Linked DNA regions of Rattus norvegicus. The protein of the gene in region 1 purifies or fractionates together with the protein of each later gene. This does not show direct contact. Links are inferred from orthologs where the notes say so. Each region holds a gene or a part of one and is shown on either strand. Other genes may lie near its edges. The genes, in order: Ago1, Stub1 and Tarbp2.

Evidence for each region.
Region 2: the proteins of Ago1 (region 1) and Stub1 purify together in Homo sapiens (affinity purification with mass spectrometry; 3 studies listed by BioGRID and IntAct, with this or other methods). This does not show direct contact. The link is inferred for Rattus norvegicus from reciprocal best matches to the Homo sapiens genes AGO1 and STUB1.
Region 3: the proteins of Ago1 (region 1) and Tarbp2 purify together in Homo sapiens (co-immunoprecipitation; 4 studies listed by BioGRID and IntAct, with this or other methods). This does not show direct contact. The link is inferred for Rattus norvegicus from reciprocal best matches to the Homo sapiens genes AGO1 and TARBP2.

The regions. Positions count from the first base shown.
Region 1 is NC_086023.1:144,035,080-144,038,728, forward strand, and holds part of Ago1 (protein argonaute-1), read right to left. Parts: intron 1,526-3,649; coding exon 1,342-1,525; intron 1-1,341.
Region 2 is NC_086028.1:15,355,082-15,358,830, forward strand, and holds Stub1 (E3 ubiquitin-protein ligase CHIP), read right to left. Parts: upstream 2,479-3,749; 5' UTR 2,376-2,478; coding exon 2,214-2,375; intron 1,793-2,213; coding exon 1,594-1,792; intron 1,511-1,593; coding exon 1,345-1,510; intron 1,312-1,344; exon of another isoform or gene 1,180-1,311; coding exon 1,092-1,179; exon of another isoform or gene 909-1,091; coding exon 852-908; exon of another isoform or gene 766-851; coding exon 649-765; exon of another isoform or gene 571-648; coding exon 445-570; 3' UTR 197-444; downstream 1-196. Other genes in the region: Jmjd8 (jmjC domain-containing protein 8), read left to right, coding at 72-152. UniProt on the Homo sapiens protein: E3 ubiquitin-protein ligase which targets misfolded chaperone substrates towards proteasomal degradation.
Region 3 is NC_086025.1:135,530,624-135,533,389, reverse strand, and holds the end of Tarbp2 (RISC-loading complex subunit TARBP2), read right to left. Parts: intron 2,443-2,766; coding exon 2,370-2,442; intron 2,181-2,369; coding exon 2,063-2,180; intron 1,741-2,062; coding exon 1,613-1,740; coding exon of another isoform or gene 1,609-1,612; intron 1,323-1,608; coding exon 1,121-1,322; intron 993-1,120; coding exon 835-992; 3' UTR 564-834; downstream 1-563. Other genes in the region: Npff (pro-FMRFamide-related neuropeptide FF preproprotein), read left to right, coding at 1-50, 153-255. UniProt on the Homo sapiens protein: Required for formation of the RNA induced silencing complex (RISC). Component of the RISC loading complex (RLC), also known as the micro-RNA (miRNA) loading complex (miRLC), which is composed of DICER1, AGO2 and TARBP2.

The DNA.
Region 1 (3,649 bases):
TGTACCACACTCATGTTTAAGGTCTACTCCGTGGCAATACACCTCAAGCTTCCAACATTCCTATGAATCATCAGGTTTCATTAAAGTCATCTTCTGATTTGAACCCACACTTAGAACCCACACTTCCAAAATCCTACAGTAATACTGTTGGTCCTCAGATCATGAGACCTCCACAGACCTTCTGAAGGGGAAGGGCCTGTTCCCAGGTCTATCCTGTCTGCCAAACAAAGACGGAAAGGAAAGAAAGGAACGGATCTGAACTGGCCTAGAAATAATAAAATACAGGGTAGGAGTCCTTTCTCCAGCTCTTGGAAGTTTTACCACTGTTTTCTCTCCTGTATCATCTTTTCCTCTGTCTTACTCCTGAGTTCTTCTGACACTGCCTCAGGAATGGACAATGTCTCAATTTAAACTGCCTTGTGGCAGTCATTCCACTCCTAGGACTTCTATCTTACAGATACACTCACACATCTGTGAAAATATGTATCTTTATATAATACTTAACAGTTTCAATCTTGTTGCAAAGTTTAGACTCTACCTAAATATCCCACAATAGATCAAGCAAATTATGTGGTCATTTCAAGGACTATCTAGGGCTCTACACAAAAGAATAAGGCAGATTTATATATACTAATATATACTATTTTCCAAAATATATGGTTAAACAGAAAAATGGACAATATTGAACAAAGTATATAGAATCTTACATTATTATTATATATGCTCATACATTACATATATACACATATTAATGCACATATATTGTATTATATGTAATACTTGTATAAAACCAATGTGTATATGTATGCACATGTTTGTGTATACGCATATACAATAATATGTAATAATGTAATATTATATATGGTTATTAATATAATTAATAAGTAATAACAGTAATTGATGGGAATATATTACTATAAATGTATTATATATTCATGTCCATATTATAATGAATGTATACACAGAAAAATATCTGAAAATACACTCAAGACTGTTGAAAAAAATTCCTAGTTTTTAATTGTGAATATGGTTTTCCAGTAATAATAAACCAATTTAATCTGCTTCTTCTACGATTAATCTCTCCAAATATGCATCCCGGAACATCCCCTGCAAGCAAGAACACCATCCATCTTGCTCTTACCCCCGCCATTTTAGCCTTGCCTTTTAACTTCTCCTTCTCTACCGGGCTCCTTACCTAAGTCTCATTCTTAAAATCTCTGGAGTCACCTATCTCAGCAAGTGCTAGAATGTGCTCTGTTCTTACAGAGTTCTCCGGCCGACATGTTTCCTCTTTCCCTGTTTAATAAATTGGACTCGGTGCCACCCACAGTCATCACTTACCGGTTGACTCTGCGAGGACACTTATCCGGCTTGATGTCCACCTCGTAATGGTAGACGTCAATCTTAGGAATGTCCACCTCAAAGTAATTGGCCAGAAGCTTGATCGGTTTGCCCACAGTGCCGATGCCAGGCCGGCGAGGGGCCTGGAACACCTGCTGCAGGGGAGGCAGGTAGGCACCTGCAGCTGTGAAGACAAAGAAGCCAGTGAGGACAGAGTCTGGCCATCTTCTAACTGCTGTGATCAGACAAGGCCTCTCAGACCAAGACCGTGGGTCTCGTTCCTCTTTCCTCACCCAGCAGGGGCTTCCACCAGCTTGGACATTCCCAGGCTCACTGGATTTTCCAATGGCTTATTTTACTTTTATTTTTGTTTTAAACCTTTCTTCAGTTAGGAAAATGTGTGTCTACAACTTCAACAAGTAAATGTGTAATGAGTTCAAGAAAAGTAGCTAAGTTCCTAGTTCACAACGCTTTCCTCCATCTCTACTAGATTGAGACACCTGTCTCTACCAGGTAGGTATATGCCAGTTTAAGAACGATCGATTGATTCTGTGCTACTCGAGAAGCTCATTTCACTCATTAGCATCCAGAACACAAAACGGCACCAGAACTTTGGGATGATATCCTCTGTTAATGTGGACAGGTGAACAACCTCAAGAAAGGCAGGCTGGGAAGGGCAGGGCCTGAGACAGGACTGAGACAGGGAATGCTGGCTCTGGGGAGACAGAAAGAAAAGGGTAGAAGGACAGCATCTGCAGGCTAAGAAGAGGCTGCCAGGGCGGGGAGAAGGTCGGATCTGGAGGTCACAAGAGAAAATGCCTTGAATTGGGTAGAAAAAGGAGGGAAGGAAGGGTACAGGTAGGGCAAGGTTGGGGTACAGAGAAAAAACTATCAAGATGCAGAATGAAGAAACGGAAGAAAATAAAAGCTCACATGAAGAAAGCTAAAGGCTCGGGAAGGAGGAAGAACAGTAAGAGGGGAGACACCAGGTCAGAAAGGGAATATAAGACACTTTCCATTCTTCACAAATCTTTCCACACTGAGGGAGGGTCCAGACGGCAGAAAGGATCGATTTCAGAACAGAAGGGGCCCTTGGGGAAGGAAGGGCTAGGATAGGCCAGCATGACTGCTCCTCAGTCTCCCTCTCCTACTCCGTGTGTGTGTGTGTGTGTGTGTGTGTGTGTGTGTGTGTGTGTGTGTGTGTGTGTGTACACTAAGTAGAGCCTTTGTCCTCTGCTACTATTGTTCTTTCCAGCAGAGAGAGGACCAGCATAGGTGGAAGAGGGACAAACGCCCTCTTTACCAGAGCTCTGCTTTCATAGACACACAGGACTGGGGGATGGGACAGGGGTGGGAGGGTATGGAGCATATCTTAGGCAGGGGGGTCAGGAAGAGGTGGGTCATTTGTGGGAGGTGCACACCTTCCAAAGCTGAAGGACTTGACTCCCTCTAAACCACCTGTCAAATCAGCCCCAGCCCCTTTCTGCAGAGGAAAATACCAAGTCCCTCAGAACTCAGCTACAAGGGAACTAATAAACTAGTCCCACCTATCCCAGAAAGGGCTGAATGGATACTGCATACGAGCCCCACTGACAAACACGCACCCCTCTCACATGCAAGCGCTCTAAAGCTTACCGTTCTACATACGCTCTTCACCATCAGTGAGGACTCAGTGTTTCAAAAGAAGGGACCATACTTGACTTAATCACAGCTCAAGCTAGTGCCGGGCATAAAGACAGGTACTTCATATGCTCATATCACATAAATGAACAAACAAACCGATAGGCACACCACAAGAGTGCACAACCACACAACCATGCTTGCAACTGTCCCAAACAAACACAAACTCTGTGCAGAAGCATTTGTCCCTTTTCAGATATATCTTTCCCTTTCCCAAGTTTTAGGATTCCATTCACTTTTTGCCTCCTAGTCTGAATAATCAGTTGAAATTCTGAGAGACATCCCTCTAGAAGAACCAAGGGCAAAGCAGAAATTACAGGGATGAGGTGAGACAGACACTCCCCTTGGAGCTCTCACCATCCCAGAGCTGGACAGCACACCAGTGCCTGAGAGCACGCTCCTGGTCAGGGTTCAGAGAAAATGGAGAACATCTCTCCACTTCATCCCCAAACTAGGGAAGGAGGCAGGGGGAAACAACTACCTCTTTGCCATTCTATCTATCCCCAGGAAAGCGCCACAGCTGTACAGTCTCTCCTCCCCAACCTCGCCCTGCCCCCAGCTTTTAGTCTGAGAAAGGAAGACACTTCCCCTCAGACCCAGACAGGGACAGACGGCCACTTTGTGATGC
Region 2 (3,749 bases), on another chromosome or scaffold:
GCTGGTAGGTGGGGGTTGGGCTAACCCAAAAACTAGGGAATCAGACTATTTTTCCGTGCCCCTTCTCCCAGGCGCTGTACTTTCCTGATCGGTGGTGGCATGCCACACTCAATCTGGACACCAGTGTCTTCATATCCACTTTCCTTGGCTAGCCAACAAGCGACTGGCAAGCCCACTGCACCAGCACATGCCAATGTAGTGCTCACAGACTTTATTACAGGACAGTGGCAGCAGCAGCAGCAACCCACCCTCACCAGCTCTCCAGCCCAGAAGGGAGACAAGGGAGGCTCATGGCCCAGCAAGGGATATGCTGAGAAGGGGAGCAGTTCAGAACCCATCATCAGGACCGATGGGGGCAGGCCCAGGGACACAAACTATATACAGGGACTGGAGCTTCTGCCTCCAGACCCTCCTGGGCCAGGGTGCCAGGCAGGACATGGGGTATCAGTAGTCCTCTACCCAGCCATTCTCAGAGATGAAAGCATCAATGACTTCCTTCATGGCTAAGTTGGGGATGAGCTGTTCCTGGGTCAGAGGGCTCCGGGTCACAGGATCGAAATGGCCCACGCGCTGCAACGACAGAGTCAAGAGTATTCAATGGCCTGAGTGTCCCCTGATCCCAGTCCCGAGACCACAGGCCCTCCTTACCTGCAGGTGCTCCTCAATGTCCTTGCGGTCATAGGTGATGCCACTGGGTGTAATGCAGGGTTCCCGCATCAGCTCAAAGCTGATCTTGCCACACAAGTAGTCAGGGATATCTCGCTTCTGCAGCACAAGAGGGAAATGTCTGCAACTGGAAAGGAAGTCACCATACCAGAGCCTGCCCATGAGCTTCAAGGCTCCGTCCTTACCTTTCTTTTCTCATCCACCTGAGAGAAGAGCTCATTCATGTCCGCCATGTATTTATCCTGCAGAGTTGAGCGCCATGTGTGGGCAACTCCTGTCTCCTCCACACAGACACACACACTCTGTCCACCGGGGCACTCATGTCATGCATGGGCCAACAGAGCCACCATAGGCTGGGGCACTTCTCATGCCACACACAAAAACACACACACAACGACCCACATGTGGACTAGGGGCACCCTCACGTGCTTGGCCTCAATGCAGGCCTGCTGGGCCCTGATGTGGCCATCATCCTCATCACCCTCGTGGTTCCGCTGACACTCTTCCAGTTCCCTGAGGGTCAAGAAAAAGCCAGCTGGTGATGGCCCCAACAGGGAAATGACAGATCCCTTCCCATCTCAGGCCTCTTTCCTCCCGGGCTTCCCATGTACCGGCTGCTGTCCTTTAATAAACACTTGCACTGTTGACTCGGTGTTAACTGTTGGGGGCGGGACCCACCTCTCTCGCTCAGCAGCAATGAGCCTGGTGAGATAGGAGTGCAGCTCACTCTCCTGGTGGATGCGCCGTTCCTCGATACTGTTCCAGCGCTTCTTCTTAGCAATGCGAAGGGCACTAGGAATATCATCCCCAAAGTTGAGTCGCTGCTCCTTGGCCAAACTATAGGCTGGGGGAGTGGACACTTTAGGTTACACTTGTCAACAATCCTGGCCCCAAAGGTGCCCACAATCTGGCATCTTGTCAGCCCACCTCGCTGCAGATTGGCAATGGCCTCATCATAACTCTCCATCTCTAGCTGGCACTGCCCCAGGAAGAAGTGCGCCTTCACAGACTGCCCATCCAGCTCCAGGGCTCTCCGGCAGTCAGCAAGTGCCTGTTCAGGCTGCTGCATCTTCAGATAGCACAGGGCCCGGTTGGTGTAGTACACTGCCACAAGTGGGTTCCGGGTCTGGGAACCAAGATCAGGTGACAAAGAATGTGGGCTCATCTGATCCCCTCTCTAATAGCAAGCTGAAAGCCAATGATCCGGACAATTCTCCAGCATTGGGGGCCCATGGGTGGAAGAGAGGAACTGGAGATTTCCGAGTTATCAGAGCTCTGGATTCTAGCCATGCTCTCTTGCCTCCAACTGTTTTTGAGAAAAATCCCAGAACCCCTCCACCAGCTTTAGGCTTGGGAGCCTCAAGGGGCAAGAATTTCTGGTGTCATCCTTAGCTTGCCTCAATCAAGCATCCCGCCCGCCAGTCCCCAGTCAATCTGCCCTGGATTCGGGAACAGCAATCCGGGTCTAGGCTGCCAGAAATCGTCCGGGAATCACAGAACTGGGAGGCACATCGGGCCCCGCCCCCGCCCCCGCCCCCCGCACTCACGATGGCGCGGCCGTAGCAGGCCGCCGCCTCCGGGTACTTGCGGCCCACGAAGAGCCGGTTTCCCTGCTCCTTGAGCTCTTGCGCACTCGGGCTCTTATCAGGGCTGCCGCCGCCACCAGTGCCCAGCCGCGCGCCGCCCTCCTTTTCCTCCTTGCCCTTCATGGCGCCGCGCGGCACGGCTTGGGCTCCGCGCCCGGCCACCTAGATCTCGCAGCCCGCGCAGCTATCAGCTCCGCCCGGTCGGCGATCCGCCACCGGAACTTCCGGTGTGGGGCGGGGCTGGCATGGGGACACGTGAGCAAAGGCGGAGCCTCGCGGATTGAGCGGGTTCGCTTAGCCCGGAGAAGCTACCGCTGCGCTCTCTACCGGCCCCGCCCTACAGTAACTAGGACCTACCCTCAATATTCAGACCAAGGCTCCGCCCATTGGCAGTCAAGCCCCACCCTCCGGCCCACGCCACGCGAACGTGGCAGCGGTCCGTGCTGGAGAAGTGGCGCTCCGAGGGCCGGTCACTAGGCCCAGGTCCTAGCGCGCCACCGGGGCGCACGCGGGCTCATGCGGCAGCCTGGGAACGTCTAGACCGCTGGTAGGACGGCGGAATTGAGGGAAGGAGAGAGGCCCGCAGGTCAGACCACCCTCGAGAGGCTTCCTCGGGAATCGGGAGAAGCTGCCTGCGGCCATTACTGGCTGAGAAACAAGCACGTGACGCGTTGACTCGAAAGGACCTGCTGCGGTTGCTATAGAGGTAGCTGCGGGTCCGCGGCTGGACGCTCCCCTTCTGCGGTCATGGGGCGGAGCTTCTTCAAGGGCGGTGCCAGCAGGTTTCCGTGGAGAGAGCCTGCACCAAGACCCTTTGACCCCAGGTCTGTAGATGAGGCATTTTTAGCCGCTGCTGCATCAGCTGTTGGCCGCTAACATCCCCCACCCGGGACTTGGAGAAGCAAAACTCGGCTTTCTGCCGATCTGTGCGCCGCAGTCAAACTTCGCTGCGTGGTTTCTGCCACTGCCTCGAGTGAGTAGGGAGCATCTTTGCACAAGTTGGGTGGGGGCTCTAGGAACTCAAAAAAAAAATGTCCCCAGAACCTCCTTGTCACTCTTTGCAGTGGCTACAGTTCCTGGCTTGCTAACGCTGCAGCATACACTCAAGTACTACTTGCTGTTTCTAGCCCAGGTGCAAGAGCTCACTGCATTTCTGAGCAGGGGCCTGAGGGGTCACCCAGGACCCCATCATGGTTCCGATGGTTAGTAACTCGACCCCAGAACTCTTGTAGATCTCTAGTGCCTTAGAGCTGTCTGTAGACGCTTCATCTTGTGAAGAGAGCACTGCAAACTTGGACTATGGGCAGATGTATGCCCAGACCTGCTGCCTGAACTTCACCCCAACTGGTTCTCCCATAAGGACTATAGACCTGCCAAGAATTACAGGACCCAGGCCAAGTGAACCTGGCTCTGTCTCGGGCTTGCCTTTGGAAGGGAGGCTGCAAGAACCGGGATTGGAAGCTCTTGGAGCACAATAAACGACTGCTGAACTTGGAC
Region 3 (2,766 bases), on another chromosome or scaffold:
GCCATGGAGAGACCTAGAAGGAACCCAGCCTTCTTGTTTCAGCCCCAGAGGTGAGTTCCAAAAGGCAGAGGCTGGGAAGGGAGGAGGGCAGAGGAAGATGTGAGGGAAGGTGAGATACAGGGAGTGCCGACTAAAGATGAATCTCTCCTAAGGTTTGGCAGAAATGCTTGGGGGCCCTGGAGCAAGGAGCAGCTAAGTCCCCAGGCTAGAGAGTTCTGGAGCCTGGCCGCTCCTCAGCGCTTTGGGAAGAAGTAACATCATCTGCTGTGATATGTCTGCATGCAAAATCACTTCCCCACATTCCATGTGTGCCCCCAAATAAAGTGGTCTGGCTTCTGCATCTGTGTTTGGACAAGACTCTCAGGGAACGGGTGGGAGCCCAAGAGCAATAGTTATAGCCTCCTTTACCTCCACTCAATCAGTCTCCAGCCATTCTGCTGGAGGGTCCCCAAGGCTACTGCACCTTGCCTCCTGCCTGTAGCAAAAAGAATGGGGTTCAGAAGGAGAACAAACACTGTGTATTCCTTTGACACCCTCATGACCCAGGGCCAGAGAACACAGGGTTTAAGAAGCCAAAGAGCAGCATTTATTCTGGATTCCAATAGAATTCCAATTTCCTTTCATTCATCATCCATGGAATGAGGGCAAACCCTGCGCTGGCTGGGGCCCTGTGGTTCATGGCTCCTTGCTTGCCTTTGCCTTCCTCAGTCTCAAGGCAGGCAAGCTGTGTCAGAGGTAGAGATGGCACCTCTGGAGGGCACCAGAGCTAGGCAGACGCATAGACCCAGGGCAGAAGGAGCAAGAAGTAACAGATATCCATCACTGTAGTGGGTGCTATTTGCTACCGGCCATGATCCTGAGGTACTGTAGTGCGCGGCGAGCAGCATCACCTCGGGCTGCCTCCCTGGTAGTGGCAGAACCATAACACACAGTGGCTGGCTGCGTGGACAGCTCCACTAGACACTGGCAGAGCCCACTCAGGCTCAGTTCCTCTGGAAGCCAAAAAAGAGGGAGGCACTGGTGGGGAGGGGCACCAAGCAGTGTACATCACCCATCTCCCAACTCCTTTATACTTGCTCTGATCCAGTCCCCTCCATCCCCAGTCCCTGGCTGGCCATACCAATATCCAGATAGCTGACATGGAAAGCCTGCTCCGCAGAGAGCTCACTGAGGATGCTGCAGCAGGCAGAGCCCAAAGACCCCAGAGAGCCCACGGAGCAATTGCGAAGGGACAGGATCTTTTCTCCCACAGAATTCCGTAAGGAATCCCAGGTGCAGCCTGGCCCACGGTTCCTTAGTCCATCCAGGCGGGAGCTCACGCCCTAATGAGATAAGGGTGAGAATGCAGCTAAGAACCCAAGAACAGGGCATACTCTGACCCCTGGCAGGCTTCCTCATCCCAGGAAAAGTTGCTACAGGGCCTTTGCCCTAGGCCAGCTTTCCCTAGTGACCCTACACATAGGCTGAGGGGACTGCTAGGTGTCACAGGTTCAAAGAGCCCTGGGTTTGGTAGAGAAGCAGGTCCAACTCACTTCCAAATCACAGACCCAACCCAATTCCACACCACGTCCTGCAGTGTGAACCACATGGCGAGCCCACACAAGCCACTTACAATGGAAAAATGATCGTCATCAGGTTCAGCCTCGTTGCCGTCGCGGGCATCCAGAGGTACCGTGTGCACTCGAAGCAGCATCTTAGCTGCCGCGTTGCGCTTTGCCAGCTTCTTGGAGGTCCCACTGCCTGAGGATAGGGAAGGAATTGTTCGATTTGGGGATTCCTAACAGACCAATGCTTTCCCTCTAAGTTAACTTGGATAGAAGGTCCCCTTATGGGATAACTGCAAAGAGGAGCTCAAGGCCTGTTCGTTTTCACTGAGGAGTTGATGAGCCAGAAAAGAGGGGAAAGATGGGCAGGGACAAGGAAGAGACAGGGAGGGAAGAACTGAGCAAGGAGCTGCAAAGCAAAGAAAGTTGGGACAGAGCACAGCCAGGCAAAGAGCCACCTTGTGTGGGGCTATAGTGTGGCGGAGAGAAGGTGAGTGAACCCCCTTTTCCCCAGTTACCAATCTCAATGAAACGCTCCACCCGGCAGGTCATGGTGAACTCTTTGCGGTGAGCAGGCCCAGACTCCTGGGTCACCATGTACTCTGGCAAACGCCAGCCTTTCTGCACCACCAGCTCCTTGAGAGAAAAACAGAAGAGTCCAAGGTTTAATGGGGAAAGAAAGGTTCCTTACCCGAGTGGCTTTCTACCAAGAGCCTCAGCCTCTGAATGAGAAGGAGGACCACCCCACCCACGAGGGCGCACATCCCTGCCTCAGGGCCCTAGTTCAGAGAAGACAGCACACACGACAATGAAGATGAGGCACACCTGCAGAGCACCAACAGGGTTGCACTCAGACTGCTGAGGAGAGACAGGGGGCTGCATCTCCATGGGAGGGCTCCTAAAGGAAAAACGGCCCAGACCAACGCTGAGGAAAACGGTTCCTTCTGTCCTGGACAAGGATGAAGTGCCAGCCACTGCCACCTCCCAATTCTTCACCAGGCAGGCAGCTATCTGTCCAAACATCTAGCCTTGCTCCTCCCTCCCCAGTCTCCACCAAGTGAGGCTCGCTACTTCCTAGTAGCATTTAGATGTGGAAATACTTCAGTAAAATCCCTGTGACAGAGGTAAAGGAGCAGTACAGCCGGTCCTGGAGTACCTTTTGGGTCTCAAACAAGGAGCCTGTAAGATGTTTAAACAATCTAACATTCGTCATATGGCTATT